Linked DNA regions of Coturnix japonica. The protein of the gene in region 5 purifies or fractionates together with the protein of the main gene of each other region. This does not show direct contact. Links are inferred from orthologs where the notes say so. Each region holds a gene or a part of one and is shown on either strand. Other genes may lie near its edges.

Evidence for each region.
Region 1: the proteins of UTRN (region 5) and SNTB2 purify together in Homo sapiens (affinity purification with mass spectrometry; 4 studies listed by BioGRID and IntAct, with this or other methods). This does not show direct contact. The link is inferred for Coturnix japonica from reciprocal best matches to the Homo sapiens genes UTRN and SNTB2.
Region 2: the proteins of UTRN (region 5) and DTNB purify together in Homo sapiens (affinity purification with mass spectrometry; 3 studies listed by BioGRID and IntAct, with this or other methods). This does not show direct contact. The link is inferred for Coturnix japonica from reciprocal best matches to the Homo sapiens genes UTRN and DTNB.
Region 3: the proteins of UTRN (region 5) and SNTB1 purify together in Homo sapiens (affinity purification with mass spectrometry; 3 studies listed by BioGRID and IntAct, with this or other methods). This does not show direct contact. The link is inferred for Coturnix japonica from reciprocal best matches to the Homo sapiens genes UTRN and SNTB1.
Region 4: the proteins of UTRN (region 5) and DTNA purify together in Homo sapiens (affinity purification with mass spectrometry; 3 studies listed by BioGRID and IntAct, with this or other methods). This does not show direct contact. The link is inferred for Coturnix japonica from reciprocal best matches to the Homo sapiens genes UTRN and DTNA.

Annotation. Positions count from the first base shown.
Region 1 is NC_029526.1:16,875,259-16,879,878, reverse strand, and holds the end of SNTB2 (beta-2-syntrophin), read right to left. Parts: intron 3,922-4,620; exon of another isoform or gene 3,916-3,921; intron 3,416-3,915; coding exon 3,205-3,415; intron 3,085-3,204; coding exon 2,883-3,084; intron 2,778-2,882; coding exon 2,635-2,777; intron 2,555-2,634; coding exon 2,358-2,554; intron 2,037-2,357; coding exon 1,855-2,036; intron 1,772-1,854; coding exon 1,679-1,771; 3' UTR 996-1,678; downstream 1-995. Other genes in the region: VPS4A (vacuolar protein sorting-associated protein 4A), read right to left, coding at 60-80. UniProt on the Homo sapiens protein: Adapter protein that binds to and probably organizes the subcellular localization of a variety of membrane proteins. May link various receptors to the actin cytoskeleton and the dystrophin glycoprotein complex.
Region 2 is NC_029518.1:95,621,054-95,626,280, forward strand, and holds part of DTNB (dystrobrevin beta), read right to left. Parts: intron 1,232-5,227; coding exon 1,077-1,231; intron 1-1,076.
Region 3 is NC_029517.1:123,475,770-123,480,996, reverse strand, and holds part of SNTB1 (beta-1-syntrophin), read left to right. Parts: intron 1-1,672; coding exon 1,673-1,889; intron 1,890-5,227. UniProt on the Homo sapiens protein: Adapter protein that binds to and probably organizes the subcellular localization of a variety of membrane proteins. May link various receptors to the actin cytoskeleton and the dystrophin glycoprotein complex.
Region 4 is NC_029517.1:97,177,758-97,182,984, reverse strand, and holds part of DTNA (dystrobrevin alpha), read right to left. Parts: intron 4,305-5,227; coding exon 4,215-4,304; intron 3,511-4,214; coding exon 3,342-3,510; intron 2,565-3,341; coding exon 2,432-2,564; intron 1-2,431. UniProt on the Homo sapiens protein: May be involved in the formation and stability of synapses as well as being involved in the clustering of nicotinic acetylcholine receptors.
Region 5 is NC_029518.1:41,330,845-41,336,643, reverse strand, and holds the start of UTRN (utrophin), read right to left. Parts: upstream 3,282-5,799; 5' UTR 3,248-3,281; coding exon 3,154-3,247; intron 1-3,153.

The sequences.
Region 1 (4,620 bases), on a different chromosome or scaffold from region 5:
CCACCCATGGCGGCCCGGCGGGGCGGTTGGCGGCCGGTGCCGGTGGGCGGTGCCGGTACCTGCAGGGTGGTCGTTGTCATCTCATCGCCCGGTGGCGGCCGCAGCCGCAGCGACCCGACCCGGCCCGGCGGCGGCGGCGGGGGCCCGCGGGACCGGCCCGACTGCGGCTGTGCGCGGCCGACACGGCGCCCCCTGGCGGCGCCCTCCGGTACTGCAGGGGGCGGGCGGGGCCTACGTTGGACGGCACGCGCATGCGCACAGCGCGCTCCGCGAGTCGGTGTGAGCGTGGCGTGGGTCGGTGCGCGGGGCTGCACCGGGAGCAGCGGGATGTGAACGGCCGAGATCGCGGCTCTGCGCCAACACGGCGCTGTGTGGGCTCACAGTGCACACACACCTCACAGACTGCGGGGGTACATACACATATATGTGTGTGTGTGTGTGTGTGTGTGTGTGTGCGCTACCTGCTGCTCTGCTCACTGTATGCAATGCAGAGCTGCTGTCTGTGCACAGCCCGAACTGCGTGTGCAACGTGTGTGCACACGTACGTATGTATATAGATGGATCCATGTATACAGGTGTGTCCATGTACACACACTGCGGACCATACACAGTGCAACCACAAAACAGCATATAAACAGCACACGTGTGTGTATTCCTGCAGGCATCTATGCAAAGACAGCATGAACAGTGAGTGTGTGTGCAGCATGTGTGTGTGTGTGTGTATGTGTGTGTATGTATGTGTATATGTGCAGCACAGACAGCACCCACAGCAAAAAAACAACCCACATACACACAGCACCCACCACCCACAGGGCCCACAGCCCATGGATCAATCACAGCCCATGGATCAATCACAGCCCATAGATCAATCACAGCCCATGGATCAATAACAGCCCATGGATCAATCACAGCCCATAGATCAATCACAGCCCATGGATCACAGCCCCCCACGGCCGCTCCCCGCAGTGCCGATCACAAACCCCACACATGACCAGTCTGTATAAATAGCGATTTACAAAGAGTACAAAAATAGAAGGGCTGTGCTGGGTGGGGACTCTGCAGCCCAGGCCCTCCCGGCACAGCCCGTGGGAAGCAGAAACGTTTGCAGAGGAGTTGGGCCGGGGCGCAGCGGATCCCCCAGCAGCACCATCCCCTGCCAGGGGCAGAGGTAAAGTACAAAAAGCAAAAGTGCATCGATCTACGTATCCCTCCCCAAAGCCACGAGGCCCAGAGGGGTCCCGCTGTGCCCCCAGCCCAGGAGGGAACAGCGCTCGTTTGCAGACTCTGAGAGCTTGGGGAGCACCCGCCCTGTGATCGCAGCACGGCAGGGACTGAGCCCCCTGCCCATACCGGCACCACAGCGCCAGGTCCCAGAGTGCCCCCAGTGCCCACATTTTTAAGACAAGTCTCCCAGGGGGGACAAATGATGCCCAACATGGTCCCACCTGGGGGAGGAACACGCAGTGAAGCCCCTGGGGGGAGCAGCGGCCCCGCCGCAAGGCACAGGTGGTGAGATCAGAGATGGCTTTTGGGGACGGGGGATAACGCTGAGCTCCCCCTGAGCCACAGAAGAGGAGCCCCCACCCCAAGGCACCGGAGAGGCAGGCAGCGGTGGGGGCTCCATGTTTCCCCGGCTGCTTTGTGTTGTGGAGGCAGCTGGGGGGGGCAGGGCCGTCACCTACACCAGCAGCCCCATGCGGGTGACTTTGGCCGAGAGGAAGGTGTGCAGCACGAAGACGATGGGCTTGGGGCAGGAGTGCAGGTCCAGCGCCTGTGGAGGGAAAGGGAGAACGTTGTCACAGCGTGGGGGCAGCCCGAGTCCTACGGCACGCCGGGATAGGGGTCCCTCCTCACCAGTTCCCCCTCTGGGCCTCCAAAGTCCAGATAGAGGGTCCTGATGCCGTCGTCCGCTGACAACTTCAGCTTTTCATAGGGGTAGCGGTACAGGACGCTGCCGCCCGCCTCATCGCGGCAGATGGTGAAGCCGCCCTCGTAGTGAATGCAGAGCTTCACCTCCTGGCCGCCCAGCGTGCAGCCTGCAGGAACAGGAACGGCTTTGGTTCTGCCCCCAGCACCTGGCTGCAGTCAGACCAGACACCCCAACACTTCCCCAAGCATTGGAGGAGGCACAGACGCCATCATGCAGCACACCACCATCATGCAGCACGCCACCATCATACAGCACACCACCATCATGCAGCACACCACCATCATACAGCACACCACCATCATGCAGCACACCACCATCATGCAGCACACCACCATCATGCAGCACGCCACCATCATGCAGCACACCACCATCACCGCTGGGGACTCCCTGTCCCACGGGCAGAGCCCCGGTGCTGCTGTGCACTCACCCACAGACACCTCCTTGATGAGCTCAGCAGCAGCATGGCAGCCCTGCACCAGCACCCGCGTCCAGCAGGACAGGTCCCGGTGAGTCTCCACACGGAAGACGTGCATCTCAATGCCCTGCCGTGAGCCCGTCCGTGTGGCGAAGGTCAGCTCGGAGCCCAGCGAGGGCGAGCGGCGGCCTGAGCCTGAATGCACCAACCTGGGGACGGGAGGGGGACATCGGTGCTGCATCCATCCCATGTGAGGGGTCAGCTCCTGCAGGAGTCCCCATCCCGGTACCTGGTGGCCACCAGCGGGTAGCTGTGGCACGGCGAGGCCCACGCATCGCGCGTCCAGGGCATGGCATCGTACAGCAGCAGATCCTTCTCCGTCACCGCCATCAGCACCGGCCGCCACTGCTGCCGCCCACCATCCAGCCGTGCCTGGATGAGGAGCTCAGTGACAGGGCAGCTCCAGCCGCCACCTCCCCAGCATCACGGTGCCACCCAGGGATGGCATCCCCCAATACACAGAGCACAGACCCGTACCTGCTCTGCCAGCCACGCGACGTGCTTCACCTCCCGGCCCCCGGCTGTGCCACCCAGTGCGGCGTTGAGCTCCGCCAGCACCTGCGGCAGCAGCGCCGTGATGTTGGCATGCAGTGCTGTGAACCAGGAGTGTGCGGTGGCCGTGTCCTTGCAGCGCAGGATCAGCGTGTTCCTGCTGTCTGGCGAGTGCAGCTCGATCAGCCTGTGGGGATACGGGGCGCTGGGACGGGGCCAGCCCGGCTGCAGGCGTGCTGCCAGCAATGGGGCCGGGATGGGGGCACAGAGACACGTGCCAAGCGCTTCCCGAACGCCGCCTGCTCACCGGTTCTCCAGGTCGGGCATGCTGAGGTTCCTTGCAGCAAAGCACATCTTCAGCGGGATGACCTTGCGGTCACGGGCGCCGTGGTGCTGGGGCGATCCCGAGTCCTCGCTGCCGCTCAGGCTGGGTGACTGCGGGGCAGCCCCTTCCCAGGGCAGGTCCGACACCAGCGACGGCTTCTTCATGTAGGGCGTCACCTCCCGCATGAACTTCACTGCGGACACAGGGGGTCGCTGTTAGGGTGGGGGGAAGAGGGGCCACGCGGGGTCACACCAGTGCCGACCCCTGCCGGGAACCAAAGGCCCACGGGGCCCACCCCGCTGCCATCGGGATGCGGGGATCGGAAGGGCTCGGCGGTGCGGCACAATGGTGCGGGCGGGAGGTCAGCCTGCAGCCCATCCTGCCCATCCTGCCCACCCAGCCGCACGCTGCGGCCAAGTTTCCAGCGCCGCAGGCGATCACGGCCCCGGGATGGTGCCTGCAGCCAGCACGTCCCGGCCCCGCGCTCCTCTCCGGGCTGGGAGGAAGGAAGGACGCATCACTCCGGGTCCCCGCGGACCATCCCTCCCCAAACACATGGTAGGCGCCAGGAAACCAAAATCCTTCACTCGCCGAGTGCCGTCCCGTCACCGCGCCGCTCCCCGCTGTCACGTTCAGGGACAGCCAACACAATGCGTTCCAGATGCTGGGAGCGCTGCGTGCCAGAGCACAGAGCGGGGGGTGACGCCGAGCAGCGGGCGGCCCAGCCAGAGAGCGGAGCCCCCTCAGCAGGGAGGGAACGGCCGCAGGGCAGCAGGGAATTAAAGCGAAAAAAAGCAGCGAGTAAGCGGTAATCTGCTGTGAAACAGCTGTGAAGCGCAGCTCCCCGCACGCAGGAGACGGTGAGAGGCCGTGGTGGGAGCTCCGCGGGGCGCCCGGTGCTGCTGAGCCGGCACACAGCTGGACGGGATGCGCTGCCCTTGCTGCGGGCACCAGGAGATAATATTAGCTCCCGCCGCGCTTATCCCCGGATTACTCCTTCCCCACGCACCTCTAATCCCCACGGGCAGGGCAGCGCCTGGGATGGATGGTTGTGGACGGGGGCTCCGCCGGCGGCAGCCCCTGAGGCGGCTCACAGCTGGCAGCCAGATGTTGGCAGCCTGCAGCTGGGGCTGGGGATGGAGAGCAGAGCGCTGGGGCTGCTGCTCCCTGCCCAGGAGTGAGCGCTGAGCCCTTTGTGCTCTGAGCCGTGCTGCTGGCAACCGGCAGCACAGGCAACCACATCCCTGAAACTCCCTGGGCAGGATTCTGAGCCCGAAGCGGGAGCTGCTGGATGAATCCTTCATGCCCACCTCCCATGGCTTGCACAGGGCACCCTGCAGTCCTTGGGGAACCCATACAGCACCAGATGTGCAACCAAAACGTTCCAAATGCTTGGGT
Region 2 (5,227 bases), about 54 Mb from region 5:
CCATTGACCACTGCTCTCATAACCAGTTCCTCATCCACTGAACAGTCTACCCATCAAATCCATGTCTTTCCAATTTGGAGAGAAGGATTTTGTGGGGAACTGTGCCAGTGGCCTCACTGAAGTCTAGATAGACAACATCAGTGGCTCTTCCCTTGTCCACTGACACAGTCACGCCATCATAGAAGGACACCAGGTTGTTCAGGCAGCAATCTTGACAAAACTCAGGCAAGTCTCATATCTCTCCTTGTAGACAGAGCACATGCAGCTAAGAATCTGATGTTTGACTGAGTAGGTCTCAAATGAGTCCATGATTTGCCCCTTAAATGCAGTATCCATATCCCTACATGCAGGAGTGGCTTGTGCAGCTTGAGAAGAAGGGTGGTATGATGTTGGGAACAAAGAATTACCCAAAGATGCTTCACCAATTACAGGCCCTTTCCTTTTGTGTTCTATTTCAAATATACGAATTCCTAAGCAATATGAATTCAGCAAAAAATGACTACAAATTCTAAACCTAAAAACTTTGAGAAATACTTAGAATGCAATCACAATCACAGCCTAAACATCTAAGTTTAGGTCTAGGTTTATCTAGGCTTATGCTTACATTAGAATTAAGGCTTAATTAAGCTATTGCACATCTCAAATTAGAAGCAATTTCTTGGAACAATCAAATCATAACAGAAACATTGACACTGCAGAAGCATTTATTTTGTGCAGACTAAACCAACTAACAATTGATTTGTTGAAAATAATACTCCTACTACTGGTAAGCCTAAAAAAACTCCAAGGTAGAAATGCTGTGCTTCCTGTTTTAGACAAAAATAGGTTATCCTTAATGTTCTTCCCAGGTGTTCAAAGGTGCTCCTTGGAGAACACACTAAATGTGTGCAAAGTCCTTTATTTCCTTAAGACCTAGGTGGACTACTTTAAATTATTCAGGATTAAATCTGCTTATTTAACACACAGTATGCCACCAAATCCCCCTTCCTGCAAACCCCATACAAGCTATACCCAAAGAAGTCAGGACTTCACAACTGCAGTAACAAGAAATGAAACTGCTTTGAATTAGCTCTTACTTGTTGTGGGAAACACGTCCGTACAGAATGCTCCGTGTATCCGAAAGAAGGTCCCTCAAACACAGCAGTCGGAAGCTTCAGAACTTCTTTCAAGAACTGATCAAACTTGGAAAATATCATTAGTCCGTTTGAGTCTGATATTTGAGAGAAAATATCTGTAAGGAAATAAAATAAAACCTTTGAGTAAATGCATGCTTGCGACAGAAAAGCCTAATGATTTCAGTTCATTTGAACTGCAAAGCACTGCTCCTTTTGTATAATCCTAAGCGCAATTTCTTCTTAGCTGATATCAAGATAAAATTTATCAATGACCAAGTTTCAGTGTGCTATGATATAAATCCCTCTATTCCCACCATCCCATATGAAAAAGCACTGAGAAGAAAGACAGTGTGGGACATCAGGGTTAGGGGGCAGGATGGGATGTGTTGGTGGTTGGACGTGGTGATCTTAGTAATCTGTTCCAATCTTAAGGATTCTATGAACCTTTTCACCTCTCCAGCCCCGCTGCCCTACCCATCCCACGCTGCTAACCCAGAGCTCCCAAGTAAAAATATAGCTCTGAAAGTAAAAATATAGTAAAAGATGGATAGGGAGGGTTGGAGGAAGATTATGTCATGGGAAATGCTAAGACTGCTGCACGTAGATAAAGCAGAACTGTCCGCAGGGCAAAAATTTCTCTGGAAAATACACACTCTTGAATAGTAAAGCTTGGTCTCTGCTATAACTGCAGCCAGGTTACACTATAAAGAAAGATTTCTCTAATATTAGTAAGACCTAAAATGTTTGAAGACAAGACAGATACCAGAATGCTTCACTAAGCAGCCTCTGAATCATCTATGAGGTTATCTAAGACACCGTAAGTAATTAAACATCAAAAAGGATGCGCTGACAGAAGGTAAGCTTAGTTTAAGAGATCAAAGCCACGTCTGTAAAAAAGACGACTTCAGAAAGGTGTATTTCCAGTAAACTAGAGACATGAAGGACTGAGCTCATGAAAAAGCCTACAGTGCTTCTTCCTACATGAAAAATTTCTCTGAAGAGTGACCAAGTATTGGGATAGGTTGCCCTGGGAAGTGGTGGAGCCACCATCCCTGGAGATGTTCAAGGAATCTGGGGGATGTGGCACTGAGGGATGTGGTGGGATGGGTTGGGCTTGGGGATCTTGGAGGTCTTTTCCAACCTGAATGATTCTGTGGTACAACTGCTTGGGGTTTGTATCAGGCAAAATTTACAGGCTTGATGGGAAGGTCTGAAGTCCTTGCTAAACGGACTTACAGGGCATACAAGAAATAAGGAAAAAACAACCAAACAAACAAGAAAGGGAGAAGGTAGATGAATAAAGAATGCTGTGTTTTAAAGAACTAATCCAATCAGAAAGATCAAGTTTCAATGGAAAATTTAACACGGAAGAGAAGCCGTGGAAATAAGTGGAACTAATTAGAGAGCAAAAGCTTCACAATCCTAAAATGCTGAAGATCAGATTCAGACCAGAACTGGCAGATGAACTTGGTCCAGTAATCAGTCTATTAAGGTGAGACTGGTAGAACATGACTGCAACATGACAGTACTTGTACTTAAAAAAAGCACAAGAATCATTTGGGTAAATACAATCTATTAATCTAATTTCAACAGCGAGCAGGATTTAAATGATTTTAAGGAGAAGGTAATTAAAGCTATGAAAGAAATGAAAAATGAGATAGAAATGAACAAGCTATATCAAGAATAAATTAAAAGAAACCCAAGTGGTTTTATAGTCAAAATGAAGTTGAAGTCATCTACACGGGGAAACTTTCACATGGGAAATTAGTGGTTGAAATTGGAAAAGATAAAGATTCATAGGATTTAATTAAATAGTCATCTTCCCTTTCAAAGGGCACTAAATTACCTTAAAAGAGAAAACCTCAAGCTAAACAGGAGCTAACAGGGTAATTTCTCCAGATCCCACCTTAAGGTCACATCATGCATGTACTAATTAAGTTTCCTGATGACAAGGTAATATACTTTAATTCTCATCCAAAGTTTCAGTTCAGTGCAACCACACTATAAACATATTTCTGCACTTTCTCATTTTACTAGAGAAAATAAAAAACGAACACCAAAACACTGCTCAATTCCAAAGATACCAACGTAAAATGGAGTAGAACTTGATGAACATTGTGAAAAAAAGCTCCTATTGTATCATAGAATCGCAGAATGGCCTGGGTTGAAAAGGACCACAATGACCATCTAGTTCCCACTGCTGTGTGCAGGGTTGCCAACCAGCAGCCCAGGCTGCCCAGAGCCACATCCAGCCTGGCCTTGAATGCCTGCAGGGATTGCCCCTCAAAACCTATTACACTTCCTCCAAGCACTGTGTCCAGCTTTAAGACCACCAGAATCACAGAATATCCAAGAACCACAGAATAAGAAGGACATACTGAAATGTAGAGGGCTACAAGGATGGCCAGCAGGTTGGAGCACTTATTCTGCGAGGACAGGCTGAGGAAACATTACTTGTTCAGCCTGGAAAAGACTGAGTTATTGGGAAGGCATAATAACAGTACACCAAAACCTACAAGCAGGCTGTGAAGGACACAGAGGAAAGTGCTATTTGATGAAGATGTAGTGATTTGCATTTGAGAACCTGGCATTGGAGAGGCCATCAGTCTGGTGCAGATAGTGCAGGCCTTCATCATCATTCACCCAGAGAGGGGAACAAACCCAGGTCACAAGACTGCCCATGTGGGTGCTCTCTGGTCCTGATGTTCCATGGGGCCATTATGATCCAACTGGGATGCAGGCCCTTGAAACAAGCAATGTTGGAATTTGTTTGAAGCCAGGTTCTGTTTGCAATTTACTTGCAGAAAGGACATGGAAGGAAACACTAATTACTTCACTATGGATCTGCTTGTATGCCAAAATGAAGTCACTCAAATCCACAAACTTCATCATCTTTATATGGTATTTCCCTAGCTTAAAAAACGTGATGCAAAAAAACTAAGCCCATAGCAACAGGCTGAGCTTATAACTCCTTCCTTGCACATCATGTAAAGCAACTTCTTCACAAGGAGTGTCAGTCACTGGAAATAATCTTCCCCACTGAAAGCAAAGCGGTATCATAGAACAACTCCATTCATATGTACTGTCAGACACTGTACGGTCTGGAAAAAGAACAACCTCAATTTGCTCACATTTTCAGAATGTTGAAAGAAAGCCTGTATGCATATGCAAGTACAGAGACCAAGCGACTACCACTCAAATTCGGAGAGGAGAACAAGAAATATTTACAACTTCCTGGATTTCCAGAAAGCCTCATGGTCCAGCTGAGCTGACAGCCTGCTCACTTAGTGCCTTCAGCCCTTGTCTTGGAAGGGGAACGGAGCAGCTGGTTTCTATTTACCACAAACGTGTTGTCAGAACACTGTCCCTTCACCACCATTTTGCTTCCCATCCAGGCTGAAGGTTCCTGTTCTCAGTCTAGTTGTTCCTTGTACAGAAAGCTTGCTCTGACTTTGGTGACTGCTGCTCTTCTCAGGAAAGATAAAGCAGATCTGAAGAGTGAGCGCGAGGTACCACAGCAGTGCTCATACAAAGCATAAACATACCATAGACTTATACAATGCTGTAATCTTCCTGTTTTGTTCTTCATGTCCTTCCCTCTCGGTCACAACACTTCATTACTTTTTTAACCACTACTAAATAGAGCATCAGTCTTCCAGGAGAGGCTCCAAGATCTGTCTCAGCAGTAACAGCTTCCTGAGCTCACCTTTCTGTGCATGACATTAGGATGACACCTCACTCCTCCAGCACACACCACTTCACATAAATTCACACTGAATCTCAGCTACCGTTTCATTCACAGTTATTCAGCACTGCCAGATGATGCTACAACTCTTCACAGTCTATTTTGGCTTTTACTACACCAAAGTACTTTACAAAAGACTGTCATCTTCCACTGTATTTTTCCAGACAATTTATGATACGTTAAAAACAGTTTAAGTCCAGCACTATTAACCCACCTTTTTACTGCTCTTCTTTGGGCTCCTTTCAGCTAAAATCTTACACATGGAAAGGACCTTCCTTTAATCCCTTTCAAGACTTCAATGTTTTTATCTGTTTGATAAGAGATACTTGAAGCCCTTTCAGAAACTCAAGAAGCCTGTATCAGTCAG
Region 3 (5,227 bases), on a different chromosome or scaffold from region 5:
AATGTGTTCAGTCTCTGAGATTCCCAAAGTACACCCCAAATGAGATGCCAAATCTGTACGGCACAGACAAAAACTACCCGTTATCAACACCTTTGAAGAAGAAGTTGTTTATAGAATTCTCAGTGGTGAGCACTTATCTTGGGACTTAGATGGCCACTCTTGTTCTCCATTCTGAGTATTTCCATTGCTTTCATTTCAAGCATCAAACAGTTCCATCTGCTTTCCTCCTTCAACATAATGCCCTTTTGTAATTTTCCCATCTTTTTGTTATTAAATCATTCTTGGCCTCTTCAACAAAGCTGACACAATGACCTGCACTATTTCCTTGAAAACCTCTCTCTTGGCATTTGAATAACATCACCAAATAAGTTTGCATTACTCCTGCCCTTCCAGCTCATCCCGTCACTGTTTGAGCGGCATCATTGAGTGACAGGAGCCAGTTAGGCAGCCACGTTTGTGCTGGTGGGACATGTTCATTTACACAAGGTGCCTGAAGGTGAGGTCCCTCCTTGGAGGATCCCCACTGAGAATTAATTTCTGCATACAGTACAAGTAAGATTGTTTGGGATTACTATATTCATTGTATATATATTTGCTACTATATATGTTGAAAGAGGCTGAGAAAAGATCTGATCTGGCACCATGATTATCACAAAAAGCTTGAACTCAATTTTATTTCCCAAGAGAAGGCTAATAGGTGAATTGATTTTTGTTTACTCCAGACATGTACATACAAGTAAATCAGCTGAAACTGCTTCCCAGCAAGCAGAAGTAGCTCTTGAGATCAGTGACAGGATGCTGACAGGCATAAACCAGGAGTGAGATGTGAGTTCCCAGCACTGGGATATCACTGGAGCATTTTAGATAAGTGAATAATAGATACACTGTTCCTTCATTAAACGTTCTTCTTAGAAACTTCCCTGTAGCTCATCCAGATCACCACTTCTGTACCTAAAAATTGCTCCATGGGAGTTCAGAGCCTGCTGAGCAGAGGTCAGATGGCACTCCAGGCTTTACGCTCCATGGATCCTTATGTTCTTTTTTGTCCTATTCTGTTCTTTCCTCCTGTTTTGCTCATTGTACTGTGCTGAGATAGAAAGGCTGCAACCAAGTCTCAACCTTTTGTATTTGCATAGCTTTCAGTGCTGTGATGCTGGGCATACGAAGGCTGCTCCAAAAGTAATGCCTCCTCTTTTATTATGTTGGCCCACAATGTCAGAGGCAGATGTTGGTGATACGGCAGCAGAGGTGGAAGCTTTGCACCGATATTCTGTTACATGTTCTTGTTGTGTGACAGATGACAGCAGAGGGACAGTCTGATCAATTGGTGTCTAACATGGAATTGTGTATGAAGCAAAGGTGTGGAACTGAATTCTGCTATGTGGAAAAAATGACACGCGTTGACACTTGCTGAACATTTATGGGGTCAAGATGGTAAATGTAGCACAGTGACGTGGTGTGTGGTGCATTTCATCAGTGGCAGCAGCAATGTGGAAAACAGGCCATGTTCAGGATAGCCACACGTGGCTGTCACACCATGAAATAGAGTGGCCAGCATAAAAATATTAAACAGTGATGAGAGTTAGTGCCAGTTCAAAGAATTATCAATAAATGGAACTACTGAACATCCATTCATTCTTCTCTTTTTCTCCTCTTCTTCTTTTCTAAATAGTGAAATACATGAGAGAAGCAACACCCTATGTGAAGAAGGGCTCTCCAGTTTCAGAGATTGGATGGGAGACACCTCCTCCAGAATCTCCCCGCCTGGGATGTGTGTCTGCTGACCCACTGTCACAGCTTTCGCTCTCCATCCACAGGGACAAGAAGACAATACCACTCAAGATGTGCTATGTGACACGCAACATGACGGTGTCAGACCCTGAAAACAGGTAAGCAGGGGGTTTATTGTAGAATCATAGAATCATTTGAATTGGAAAAGGTTCTTAAGGGCCATCTCATCCAACTCCCCTGCAGCGAATAGGGACAACTACAGCAAGATCAGGTTGCTCAGAGCCCCATCAAGCCTGACCTTGCATGTCACCAAGGATAGGGCCTGCACCACCCAGGTTTTGAGTGGGGCTGGGATTTGCATTAAATAGCCGTTGGCCTCTCCATCTGAGGGGCTGGGATGCAAAAGCTGGTGATGGGCTCTCACCCTTGCAGTGAGGAGCAAGAGGGCACTGATCTGAGAACAGAACATCCTTGTGACTGAGTTGAGTGGTGCTGGGTTGAGTGCACAGCTCTGTTTAAGGACACACATGTCAGCTTTTGGGTTGTGCTAGAAAAACTCTTGAGAACAGTAATTCAGTGTTTTTGTTAGAAATAGAATCACAGGTTTTTGTTCTTGTCCTGATGAATGTCTGCATATTCTGAGCTGGTTTAGTCTAATCCCAGTAAATTACATTTTCTTTTTGGTGTTTTTTTTTTGTTTTTTTTTTTAAATGAATATTATTTTAAGAACAGGCTGTTTTATCCATTCAGTTCTGGGTATTCAAGTCAAGAATAGGAGAAAAGTTCCACTTACAGGGCATTAATGTGGAATTTCTGTGACTTCTTGGTTTTTTTTCATAATGTTAAAAATAGGATGAGCTTACTAACCCCTATTTATAACATATGTGGAACAGCTGCACGCTGTGATAGAAAAGGGACCAGTCAAATCTATAATACAGACTGATTCTTCCATTCACATAATGGCATTTTTGTTTTTCTTGTCTGCTTGCTTATCAAGAAGCAGTGTGGAATGCTTTTGGTTCTCAGCAGTTATGTATAGGCATGAGCAAAAAGTACATTTTCATTTGCAGGGTTCCAGGGGATGGGTTCCCCTCTATTCTCTTCTGCCGTTCAGAAACTTTATAAGTATCCATGTAATTTTATTTCTCTCTCTCTCTATATATATATATGCATTTGTTGGACCTTCTTAAGGTTTTTGCTTTTCCCTTTGCAAAAACCTCCAGCTTTCTTATTTAGTGTAGCTTTGCTTTGCTGCTGCTCTTCATCTCACCAGCTGGGTACTGCTACAAAAGTACAGTTACAAAACAGCAATTACTTCTACCAGTCTTGCTCAATTTTGTATCAAGATGACTGTTGATAAGAGCAGCTTTATTCACATAAATCTGTCAGTTTAAGATGTCAGGGTCTGACAGCTGTATCGCTAGTCTGGGAGTTTGTAGTTCTCTGTGCATTGAATGTGTTGTAAAAAAGCAGGCAGGTCTTGTCATTTGAATCAGCACAATGTCGTGATGCTTTACACATGTTGACGTGATACTTTCAGCATCTTTCTCTTCTTTGTCTGTATTGCAATTCTCAACTTCTATCACTCTTGGTCCTCAGCTTCATGTAAAAGATAGGAGGACTGATTCAGAGAGGCAAACTCTTGCTGCTGATAGTACTTCTGTGATGGTGCTGACTTCTTTGGGGTGTGCTACAAGTGTACATTATTAGGTGTAACCAGGAAGTAATGCGTGGGAGAGTCACACTGCTTACTGTCACGGTTTTCACTTTGTGCTGCTCTCATTTCCTGTGGAAAGAGTGACTTCTGATTTTTACAGTATTCCGACACAATGGGCACTGTAAGTTGGATTTTTCCATCTAAGCACACGGTACTTCAGAATCATGGTAGCTGCAATGCAGTAGTAGCGTCTCACACACTTGTGTCTTTGCTCATTTCAGTTTTTAAACAACTCTAAATACTGGCACTGGTATTTCTCAGTGGAAATGCTATTATAATGCAATGAGCCTTTCCCACTGAAATCTATCCCAAGATAGTAATCCGATCCCACAAGAATAATTGGATCTTTGTTCACAGCAGGGACCAAACCGTGTCCTTACATGCTTATGACACTTCTGTTTCATAACTGAGTGACCTGACACATATAGATCTTATAACCGACGGTGTCACTTTGCGGTGCAACTTTAGAAGAGCAGCACTGACATGCTGCCAAAGCATATGCTGACCATAAAAGGTCTCCTTTGAACTACATCTGAACTTATTTTCAGGTATTGCCAAGACTAAGTGTGGATGTAGTTAGCATGAGGTGTCCATTGCAGATGTTTCTTCAGCACTGGTCACAGCAGTGTGGTGAGAGCAAGCTTAGCTGGTTTGACTTTCAACACGAGATGGTACCTATTTTAAAGGATCCAGGAGAAAATGCCTGTTTGTTAACACTGAATCACCTTCACTTCTTTGAAAGTTGTGCTGAAACATGGGTTTAGCAGGCATGGAGGAAGTTAAACTTCTGGCTTTCCCAGCAGAGCCGGTGGCCTTGCATTGGATTTCTGCTTCTCCTTTTAGATCAGAGTCAGCTGAGAAATTACTTATTTTTTATCTATCCTCTAATAGTTTGGTGAGCTTGTTGTTTCAGCACAGAAGTGAGATTTGGTGCCTTTGGAGCCAGTGGTTCTCGGAAGTCTACTTTGCCCAACCTGCCTGCAAGTTCAGCCTTCACTGAGATAAGGGATTGTTTTCCCTGTTAGCTGATTAAAACAGCTGTAAGGTATCAAGAAGAAAATCTCATGTAATACAAACCAGCAACAAGCCTGCGCGTGTAGGAAATTTTGGACAGTACAAACATGGCAACAGTAAAAAACACACAGAGCATTTTATTTACATCTATGTCAGTTTCATCTAGACACAGGAGCCGTTGTTACATTTTAGTCTGGAATAAATAAGGTTAACACAATTACCACTTATGTCCGTTGTTTGCCTGTGTTGTCACTAGTGAGTGTCCTTGGTGGCGGCACTGATGGTTAATGTCAGAACACACAGGAAAGCGTCCCCCCCATTGAGGGGGCATGTGGGAATGGTCACAGCTATTAATACCAATAAGCAGTAAATCCTACTGCAGTATAGAAAGCTTTTCATCAGCTTCTGGTGATAATTGTAAGGAATAGTAGGGGTGACAGTAAGGAATAGGAAGGTGCGGTAAACTGGGATCCAGTTACTGCAAATGCAGCTGGAGACTTAATTGCTTTGATTAAAATAGGGTGGGTTTTTTTTTTTTTGCATTAATAAGTATTGATTCAATAAACTGTTTGCAAGATTTACCTCACAAATAGTGCTCTTCAAATTGGCTCCTTTTGTACACATACTTAAAAAAAAAAATAAAATTATGTTCTTAACATTTTTTAATAACTTGTTAGTAGTGAACAGCGACAGAGTCGGTGAGACTGAAAATGACCCCATCTGGAGTACTGAGTTCTAGAGCCCCCAGCACAAGAAGGACATGGA
Region 4 (5,227 bases), on a different chromosome or scaffold from region 5:
AAGCCAAAGCAAAAGCATATGTCTTAGGAGCAATATGTGATATTACCCAACCACCTCCCAGTCATCCTAGTGCTTGCTACTATATTCACACATAATTTTGCTTGCTTAAACATCTTCCATAACCGAAAGGGCATCAGATATTGTAGAAAGGACTTCTCACACACATTGCATCCTTTGAATCTGTGGTTATCAACTAAAAATAGTTTTTACTTATAAGTTACTGCTATCAAATAATTGCCTGATAGGAGCTCTCAACGTGATAGACAGTGGAGTACAGTACAAAATTTCTTTTGGAAAAATTCTCTTAAATGGAACTTGTCTGAATAAGGATTTTCTATTGCCTCAGTGAACACATTTCTGTTCATCTCGGTGTAGTCTTGGCTCACCTATGCTCGAATCTTATTCTGACATCATCAGGGAGATCCCCTCCCCTTCTGTGAATGTTGTTGAAAGACAGTACTATTTTTCACTGAAGCAAGAGAAACATCCAGGTCTATTTAGCAACATTTGCAACTTCTACTACACAAGGAATACCCTTATTTTGCATTGTACTCATGTTCTCAGTTTTGCGTGTGCACAAAATGTAACTCGTGTGTCACGTAACACCATCACTGTATATTGTACTTCCATAGCCTAATCAAATTTCAGTCAAATTGGCCTATTACCCCTTCCACAAAAAGAATTTTTACCAGCAATAATAACATTTATTATTTGGTGCTTGATAGTTGTCACTGCTGATGTACTCCGCAGTAACTGACAGTTACTTTCTGCTACATCAGAAGAATCTCAGAAGTTTAAAGACTGTCATCTTTGTCATTTCCTAGCTTGGATTAAAAAAAATGTGACAAAAAAAACCAACCACCCCATGTCATCCACTGTTAGTATACACTGCCTTAGTATATATATCCCACAACAATACTGTTGCTGCTGTCATCATGTCCTTAGCGACCTTTGCAATCCAATGAGTTCTGGCAAGTTACCACGAGCCTGTAGCAGACTGAGGCAAACAAGTTCCCCCAAAATGCTCATCAACCTCAAAAATACCTGCAATTTTGACATGAAACAATGAACTTTTTAAGAATAATTAATTCTAGCAGCTTTACAGAAGAGGCAACTAAAAGAACTGTCATTTTTTATTAGGCCAAGAGCCTGTCAGTCCCAGGATCTTGTCTCCAAAGCGACCATCAGTAGGCACTACAGAAAAACTACCAGCAAATCTCCCATCTGGAAGGTGCTTTTGAATCTGATTTCTGCACAGTTGGTCTCTGTGCAGAAAGTGAGTTTTATATTAGTATGATCCAAATCAGAATAACTTAAAAAATTGTGATAATTTACTACAGCAGGCAGAAATGGAGACTGCTGCACAGGCAGGACAGGATATCTACAGAATTCCAGACCCCTCTGTCAAATTAGCTTTTCTCAGATTCTCGAACAAACGCCCTTTGAAAACTTCCTCAGGGGGTATTTAATGACAAATCCCCAGGCTCCACTATACTATATGCTTACTGAATACTTGGTTCTCTAGGATATAATTCATTCCAGACCCTCTCCTCCCTTCCAGATCCTGAAAATGACAATGACACACAGACTGTATTTAAACTTCAGTTCAGAGTGGAGAAACCATTATGAATGTTTTCAACTACTGGTGGAAAACAAAATCTAAATATAACAAGAGTTTGGCTTAATACCACGAACCAGCCTCTGTGGTATGGAGCATGGAGGTCTAAATGATGTAGGCAAAACTGGCAAAGAACAAGGTGAGAGGCAATTCTGGCCCACCTGAGGGCCTTGGTAAGGATAAAGTTAGGATAAGGATAAGGATACGGTTGTGTGCTTCAGGAGTGCATGCACAGAAGCTACATTCACACATGCCTACAGAAGAGAACAGTAGCAGTTTTCAGAATTTTGGAGTTTTTGTAAAGGTTGGAGACCTGGGCCTACTCAGCCTACAGAACAGAAAACAGGGAATCTAATCAATGTTTATAAATATCTAAAGTGTGGGAGGCATCTGGATGAGGTCAGACTATTTTCAGTGGTGTGTAGTGATAGGACAAGGAGCAATGGCCAAAAACTGGAACACAGGAAGTTCCACACAAATATGTGGAAGAACTTTACAATAAGGGTAAGAGAACGCAGGAATAGGCTGTGCAGAATGGTTGTGGAGTCTCCTTTGGAGATATTTGAGATCTGTCTGGATGCCTACATGTGCGACCTACTGTAGAGAATCTGCATCAGCAGGGGGTTGGACATGATGGTCTCTGAAGGTCCCTTCCAGGCCCTGCAACTCTTATTATTATTTGAATATGGCTGCTCTAGTGACTGAGAAGAGATCACACCCCAGGGCCCAGGACAGGATAACAAGGGCTCTGGGCAGGTCTGGCATGTAATTATTTCTTGTTTATGGAGTGGTATGGTCAGCTCCTTTTCTCACCTGGTACGCCTCATCCTGCAGCTTCTGCTTCAGGTACTCCTCCATCTTCAGTTCATTCTCCAGCTGGCGGACAGAGTCATTCTCATAATTTTCATCATCTGCTCTGACAAAAGGATCTCCGTCTTCTGTAACCCTAAAGATGATTATTCACAAACAGGCTCCTGAGATGAATGACATTCAGAATGAATAACAACCTTCCTCTATTGCAAAGTTTGAGGACAGCAGGAAACCTCTGCTCCAGCACTGTTTACTACCAAGTAAAAATGTCCTGGAAGTGGAAAACACTGCTGATATTTGCTCTTTCCAATGGTCTTGTATTGATGAGGTAGACCAAAGGGCATATTCTGCTGAAGGTGTTTTGGGTGTATGGAAATGAGTCCTCAACAACTACTTTGAGAGTAAAATAAAGAGTAAGAGACTGAACTAAAAATAACTGGAAGGATGCCTATTGATATGATTCTGGTTCTAAAAATAAATTGGTTTGTTGATCAATTGAGTCGGTCAGTAAAAAAGCATTCTGTCTTCCCCAGAAAAAAAAAAAAAAACCCACCTAAAAAACACTATTTCTTTTTTCAGTGTGCTCCAATAGGTTCTTAGGTCTGGATAAGCAGGGATTGGGATTGCAGAGCATATTAAGGGGCACAGCTGTCCCACAGTCTCCCCACTGCCTGAGTGTCCCAGAGTTGACATGAGACAACTCACACCTGAAGGCATTCAAAGTTCTGGACTTTCAAGTGTACTTACTTGAAAACAGTAGCTTACTACTGTCTATTCATAAAGCTGTCCTCATTTGGATTTAGGCTTTTTTGGGTATTCAAATAGTTGAGAGGGTGAGAAAATATTTCATGCTGCATACTGTCTTCAGCAGAAAAAGAATGAGATTACAAAGGTGAATCGAGCAGGTACCCACATGTCACTGCGCATGGATCCAGTGGCAGCAGCACTGTGGATGTACCCTGGCTTCCGGGCATGGATCTGCGCAAGGAAAGCCTTCTCAGATGTTGGAGATGGAACAAGGTCATCAAAATGAGTCCGTCCAAATTCAGAATCCACGTTACTTTCTGTCTCACTGCCCACTTCTGTGAAAGCAAAGTTGAGAGATGTTTCCATTTAACTTTCACAAGATCAAGTGTGCCAGTCTATTCCTCTAAACCTTTCTCTGTCTTTCCAGCTTAGGGTGGTCAACTCATCACAGTGAATGCAGTAGAAAATAGTAGAATACTATTCTACATGTATCTGTAGATCTGGCTGTCTTCTTCTTGTGGTGGGACAGAATAGTGAAGCTTTTGCTTATTTAGCTCATTAGATAATATTTTTATGAGTATACTATATACTGCATTTTACAAAAGTTTCTACATGCTCTATATTGACTGCAATTTCTAGAGACTGAAATCCCTCTTCCATGCCACCCCAGTCATCTCTCTAAATGGAAACTTCTCTTTATGGAATAGAAAGTTGGCATCAACCAGGGTGCTTTCACAGCCACTGATGTTTTCTTTCAGGTACAACCATTCCCTGAAAAGGCCATTTCCCTAAGAAACAAGGGGCAAACTTCTCAATGAATTTTTGTTGCCTTCATCTGTATCTTTACAACTATGGCTTTCAAAACTCCTGAATTCTGAAACTGTTATTTGGAGACTTCTTTTTCTATAAGCATAAGAAGCTTTGAAACTACATTATACTACTTCCTTTGTTGGTCTGTATGCTCTTAGCTCTCATTTGTTACAAATATATATATGAAATATCAATGTGTTGACTATCCACCCTCTTCAGCCTCACGCACCAGAATTTAGTTCTTTTACCAAAGAAGACATCGTGTTGGTGATTGAATCTGCTGCCACCAGCAAATCATTTCTTAAGTTTCGTCTTGCACCTGAAGCAAGAGACAGACAAAACAGTGTTAATATTCTTCACAAGACACATATTTTCCTGTTCAAAGCAGTGTTAACCCTGCTGAAAACTGCCATTGTGATGATTCACGGTATCAAAGACCTTACGAGGTACACGTGCAGAAGAGTTCTCTGCAGAATGGCCTCATTTACTTATGCTCTATGCAAAAGCATAAGCCTCCCCTCATGCTTCATTTAATCACAATGCCAGATATGTGGAGATTATTCATTGCCATCAAGCTTGCATTTGTGCGGTGACACCAGCAGACCAGGCCTGCAAGATTAAATCCAGCATGAACTCATTTAAAATGTCTGTGGGGGAGGAGGAAAGAAATGAAGTGTTTTCTATAAGTTCCCACAGTTCTGTTTAATGACACCATTATTGCTAGGTATTTGCCAGATAATTATGGCAAATGTTGAAGAAACACACTTGACCTCATCAAGATTGATATGGATTTTCCTACTCTGCTCCCTCTCAGCCTCTGCTCTGGCTGAAGGATTTTTTTGTATAATTCATAATTTACTTTTTTTTTTTTTTTTTTTAATAAAAGAAGCACTATTGCCTCTCTTAACAGCCCCAGGCTGCTTTTAAACTCTTTTTAATAATGAATCTAGAAGTGCTTCCCCGCTGGACCTGGCAATATTCCCTTAATCATCAATCATGAAGGATTCTTGTGAGCTGCATGAAAAACTCCTTCCCTAGGAGCAGGCTGTTGGTAACGTATGTTTCACTCCCCCAGATCCCAAACATAGCTCCTATTGTGGCCGAATAATCAGTATATCCCACAGAACCTCATGTCTTCCAGACTGCTTTATTCACAGGAACGTGCAGGATTCAATTGCTGTAGATTCTTCAGAATGGGCTGAATGTAAAATAACATATTTAAAAAGCTCCAAACCCTAATGT
Region 5 (5,799 bases):
TGGGGTGAGGAATCCCCTCTTCAAGTGGCAGGGGGGCATTCACCTTGATAATTAGGCAATTAAGGTAAGAAAAAATAACTAAAAAAAACCCATAGAAAATGCTGCTAGGTAGGGTATGTATACATAAATATGAACACATTGTAGCCCAATAACTTTCCTGGAACAGTTTCAGAAGTTTTCCTGAAAGAACGTAAATCCTTTTTCACAGCATGGAACAGCAAAGAACAGGAGAGATGTGCTCATATCCTCTCAGGTAGAGATTCAGATCTGGCCATGGCTGGGCACCACACAGTCTACCACCAGTGCCTCTGCACTTGCAGCACTAACCTGAGAGGCTTTCCAGGTTTTTAGGAGATTAAACCTTTTTACATAAATAAGGACATCTCATTACAAGAGAAAAACATATTTAGCATGAGTATGTTTCCAACTCAAACATAACATGCTCATTGTAAAGATCTGACACTACAGTTTCCACTACAGGCTACCCTGTGTTGTTTTCCAAAGCGTTTAACACTACTTCACAAGTTAAAAGCCACATCAGAAGTACTTCTGGTTTTGACAAATTCCAAGATGAATTAAGTCACTCCCATTCAAAGGACAACAGTAGACAGCCTTATGACAATCTTAGTTTGGATAAGCAATGCTTACATAAAGAAGGGGAGAGGAGAACAGCAGGCAGTTATTAGTTCGAATCCCCCCTGTGGCGCAAGTGGTAGAAGTGCCGCTCTGCTACACAGAGGCTCGAATCCTGGGGGCTGGACTCGATGATCTCTAAGGTCCCTTCCAACCCGCACGAAACTATGAAACAATACCAGCCATGCAACCAAGAAACAACAAGCAGGTTCAAGACCACCCCCCAAAAAAATGAAAGTCTCTTTTGCATGTCAGGTTTGGAATAGAGGAGTAGAGAGCCTCCTCCAACCTTTTTTCTATGCTGTTCAGTCTTCAGAGGATGGAAAACTTATTCAGTGAGGCTTCACCTGAACTCACCTACATGTGCACATTTTTCCAGATATTGGCTCCAATCTCGCTGCTCCCAGCCCCCACCACTTCTCACACAGCTGTGTTTCTTGTCATTCAGGAAATCCATAGCATTTGAACAAACAAACCAACAAGACCAGAGCTGCACCTCTGCCAACACTGCAAAATTTACAAGCTAATAAATAACCCTTAAACCTTCTGGCCAAAGAGCTGAGTGCACACAAGCTGTACATAAACTTCTCTAAACGTCTCCCTGTTATTTATATTCTGGATTTATGTGAATGCTGACGAGTGTGAAGAAACAGTTACACACCACTAACTTTTGTTTACCCTTTTTTCCCCACATTTCTAGCACTGAATTACTGAAATTACTGAAAATTCAGTCTTGTTTGGAGAAAGATCGCTTCTTGACCCTACCCAGAGATTTCACCTTTCACTTTCAGTTTTTAGTTCTCTAGTCTTCTCTTCCACGCCTCTCTCCTTCTACCTTCTTTTCTTCTTCTCTGTTTATTTCTCAATAGTCTAAAGTCACAAGTCTGTCAAAGCCTCCCAATGCAAAGTGGAAAATGTGTATAAGACTGAACAGACAACAGTGAATTTCAGAACGTCAGTCTCTCAGAAAGCAAGTCTACAGACCTCCACTTTATGAAAGCTTCACAACATTGCCATACAGGAAATTTCTTAGAAAAAATCCTGATGTTTGATGACAAAACAACTCCAGTTGCAATATACCGGCCACGACATATATGCTTTCAAACACAGTGGGCTCTCAACTCATAGGGAACTACTGGCCTTTAAGAAACAGTCGCTAAGCACTTCCTGCTCAAGCGCACTAACAAATGCAAAGCCATCCTTAACGCTAAAGAGTTTCACACACCAGTGTGTGACAGACAGGCACCAACAAAGAAATCAAACATGCACAAAAACACCACTTTGTCCTATCTGCATACAAAAGAAATCAACTGAAGGTGTATCTCTTTAGCAGGATGAATACATGGATTTTGAAGAACACCAGATATCTGACCTGCAACGTTACAAGTTCTCCAGAATCACAGTGAAAAGCCACCCTACTCACTTTACAGATTTCTCTCAACATTTTCAACTGCTCTAACAGTTCATGTTGAGCCGTAAAGGAAAAGTTTTTGATCTCAGATCAGCTGGCATAAATCCAAACACATTTCATTGTTATAAAAGCAAGCTCATGTAAGACCAGAGCTTCAGTCCAACATTTTATTTAAAATTAGCCATCTTGCCACTATGTCTCAAGAAGTTTTTCTTTTCTTGCTGTAAGAAAAATTCAGACTCCAGCTTTCGTACAACTACATATATCATGTCCAAATTCAATCTGAATGAAATTGACTGCTGTTTCTGTGGGTTGGTCAGTTCTACATCAGCATAGTCCCAGTATCAATTCAGAAAATAATCAGTGCTCATCTGACAACCACTGCCCCTAAAGTGCATACTCTCAGGAATTAGGAATCTCCAAATTCACTTCTACCATGCCAGCCTAGTTACAGAACATCGCAATAGTTAACTCACGAAATTTCACCAGGGATGGGTGGGACAGGACGGCCAAAAGAAAAGGAAAGGGAAACACTCCCAATTTCTTCTCCTCTTGGGCATCCTGGCCCAAAAAATATTCCTTCTATCATGCAGGAAATACTGCTCCTTTGAAACAGCATCAAAATTAAAAAGAAAAAACCTCAAGATTGAAAGAACTGTTCTAAATATGTAGCTTGAAAAGTCCCAGATAAGCAGGAACATACAGAATAAAGGCATAATCAATACTAAATCATCATAACAATGTATTGCTTAACAAAAGTACAGGTAAGTCTTTCAAGTAGGGGGCTGAATTGGCTGAAGAAACAGCACTTCATGCATAAAAGGAAAAGCTGTGACAAGCATTAAGGAGCAGGTCCTGCAGCAGCAGCTGTTGAACAGCCATGGTTCTCAGTGCTTGCAGTGGAGCAGCATCCAAAACCAAAACACACTATTAAAAATCCTTCCCTTGAACTGCTTTCTGTCATACCTGCAACTACCTGCTCCTGCTACATCTAGCAAACCTGAACAAAATGAGTAAAAGCAGCTCTCATATATAAGATAAGAACAGATCCATGTGGCTGGTGATTTTACCAAGTACAGCCTTGAAAATACATTTAAGCACGCTCTTACCTAGCGAAGGATAACAGCTCTGCATGGCAGTGTCCCGTGGCACAGCGACCTTGTACTTTTTCCATGCAACTTTTTTGGCTGTTTGAACACTCATGATGAAGCTCGCTCTTTGAATAACAGGAAAGTGAAGATGGAGAGGAAGCGCACACTAATACCCGCAACAAGAACAGCATGCTGGGATCTGAGGGGGAGGGAAGCATTGGTTTTCCTCAGAGGGTTTGACACGTTCACTTACACAGCGACTGACAAATCAAACAGGAAACAAACCTTCTTAAAAAAAAAAACAAAAAAAAAAACTGTGCACAAATGAGTAACAAGTTTCAGCCAAATTAATGTTTTCTCCTCTTTAAAAACAAAAGGGCCAAGACTTCAGCATAAAGGCTCTCCACAAGCCTCCAAATCAAGGCAAAAAAAAAAAGAAAATCACAAACTTTGACTAAGTATGCAGGTACCACTGTCAGGCAGTTCCAGTTAAGTAAAGCAAGAGGCTAATGAGGTAATGCTGTGACAGAAGAGTAGTTTTACAATGGGCCTTTAAACTATGTTTATCAACAGTATAGAATCTAATCCCTTGACCTTCAGCATCCTGTTGTCAATGTTCTAATCAAATGGAGAGAACGTTCAATCCTATCGCTTTTAAAGACATGTCATTCCAAACTACATGCTAGAATACTGAGCTGTACAGTATTCCAGCAGTCACAAAAAAGCAACGCAAGAGAAGACTAAACATAACACAGAAGCACAGGTATCACATTCAGAGAGGACCAATACATGAATGAATTGGCTTCTGGAGCAGAAAAGTAGATGCTATTTAATTTGCCTGTATTGGTGCGTTATGCAATAAGAATAGTTCTCATGAGCAGCTTGTGTAACACAGTTTACTGTATCATATACCTGACAGACACAAACGGGGGGTTTAATTTAATTTAATTTAAAAATACACTAAAGGAAAAATCTTGATTTTTATTTACTGGGAATAGGAGTCAATCTTGCTTTGTTTTGTGAGTTGTTTTTTCTTTTCCCCTTTCCCTCCAATTTTAGGAATTCCTCAAAGTTGAAGACTGAAAAATGCATACAAAAAGAGTTTTGTTTCCATGAATAAAGACAATCATACATTCATGGGCCTAAATCAGGCTTTTGTGTTCAAATGTTCCCATGGAACACTCAAGCAAAGACTATCACGCAAGCAAGAAAACACTGCTTTAAATCTAGGACTCCTATTTTAGAGACAAACCAAAAATAATTTATTTTGCCATAGCAAATGCAAATCTAAACTTTATAATGTGCTTAAAAAGCACAAGACAGAGACAACACCAGTTCTACCAAGTATACAATTAGCAGCCAGCCATGCATGCATGCCAGAAGCATTACCAACCCAACAGCCCTGCATTCCCTACGAGAGCCTTCCTGTCAATTCAATACATCATCTCACTGTTGCACACTATCTCTGTCTCTCCCCTCACAATGCCCATACCCAAATTAAGATCTCCTCCAACAGGCATGTGAAGGATATGCTAAGTAGCAGAATAGTCAACTCCTGAAGCAACACTTCAAGCTTCCTCACTCCTTAACAAAGGAGTGCAGCCTGTGAGGGCAGTTAGATCCACACCATGCCTGAGCCTCTCACCGCTCTCTGAACTTCAGAAATAAGATATTAGAGGTATTGAGGGAAACTATTAATTCAACCCACACTCTGGAGCTTTGACTGTCACTGTCAAATACACACCACATACAGGATAAAATACTTTTTTTTCCCTTTAATCTAATTACAAGTTTTACTCCAAAAATCCAACATTTCAATAATATTCACCAAGAATATTTATTAAATTAATAATACTGGTGGGGGTTGTGGGGGGTGTTTTTTGAGGGGATAGTTTCTCTGTAGTTTAAACAAAACGTATCTTGCCTAGATGAAGACAGAACTAACAATATGAATTCTCATATCCAAAATGATCTACAAAGAAGTTAGCTTAAGGAAGGCTTTTTTTTTCATGCTGAATTTTAAGTGAGGGTATGAATTCTGTCCAAACCTGCAATATTGGGGTGTGAAATTCATGCATTAACCACAAAAGCTGGTAAGCAAGAAAAAAATGGAAGCTCTGGAGGAAAGCAATTGAAAAAGGCTAAAGAGATCATTTATAAAAAAAAAAAAAAAAAACCTCAAGAGTTCTATGCACTTGCACATACTATCCATAAACACTTCATTCATTAGAAGGTCTATTCCTACTACTACTGAATTCAGTAGGCTGTTTATTTAGCAGCTCTCTTCTAGAGTATGTGCTCTCATTTGTTCACATTGGTGTTGACAGCAGTAATCAAATTTTGTACATACCACCAACTCTATTATAGTTCAACAGTAGATGGCTGCCTGCCTAGTCTTCTTATCATCGTGTAAGATAAAAAAGACCAACCAAACAGACCAGCTGAAACTGCAATAAGAAGCAAAAAGTAGAGTCAAGCCAATGTAAAATTGTGTCATCAATAGAAATCACTTTTATGCTTACCCATCTACTACAAATTAAGAAGAAAAAGGCTAGGCTCAACGTAGGAACATTTAACATTTGTCAGTACTGCAGCTTAGACGGCAACTCAGATCTAAGAGAAGGCCTGAATGCCACATTTCCTACACAAAGTACTACATGGGAA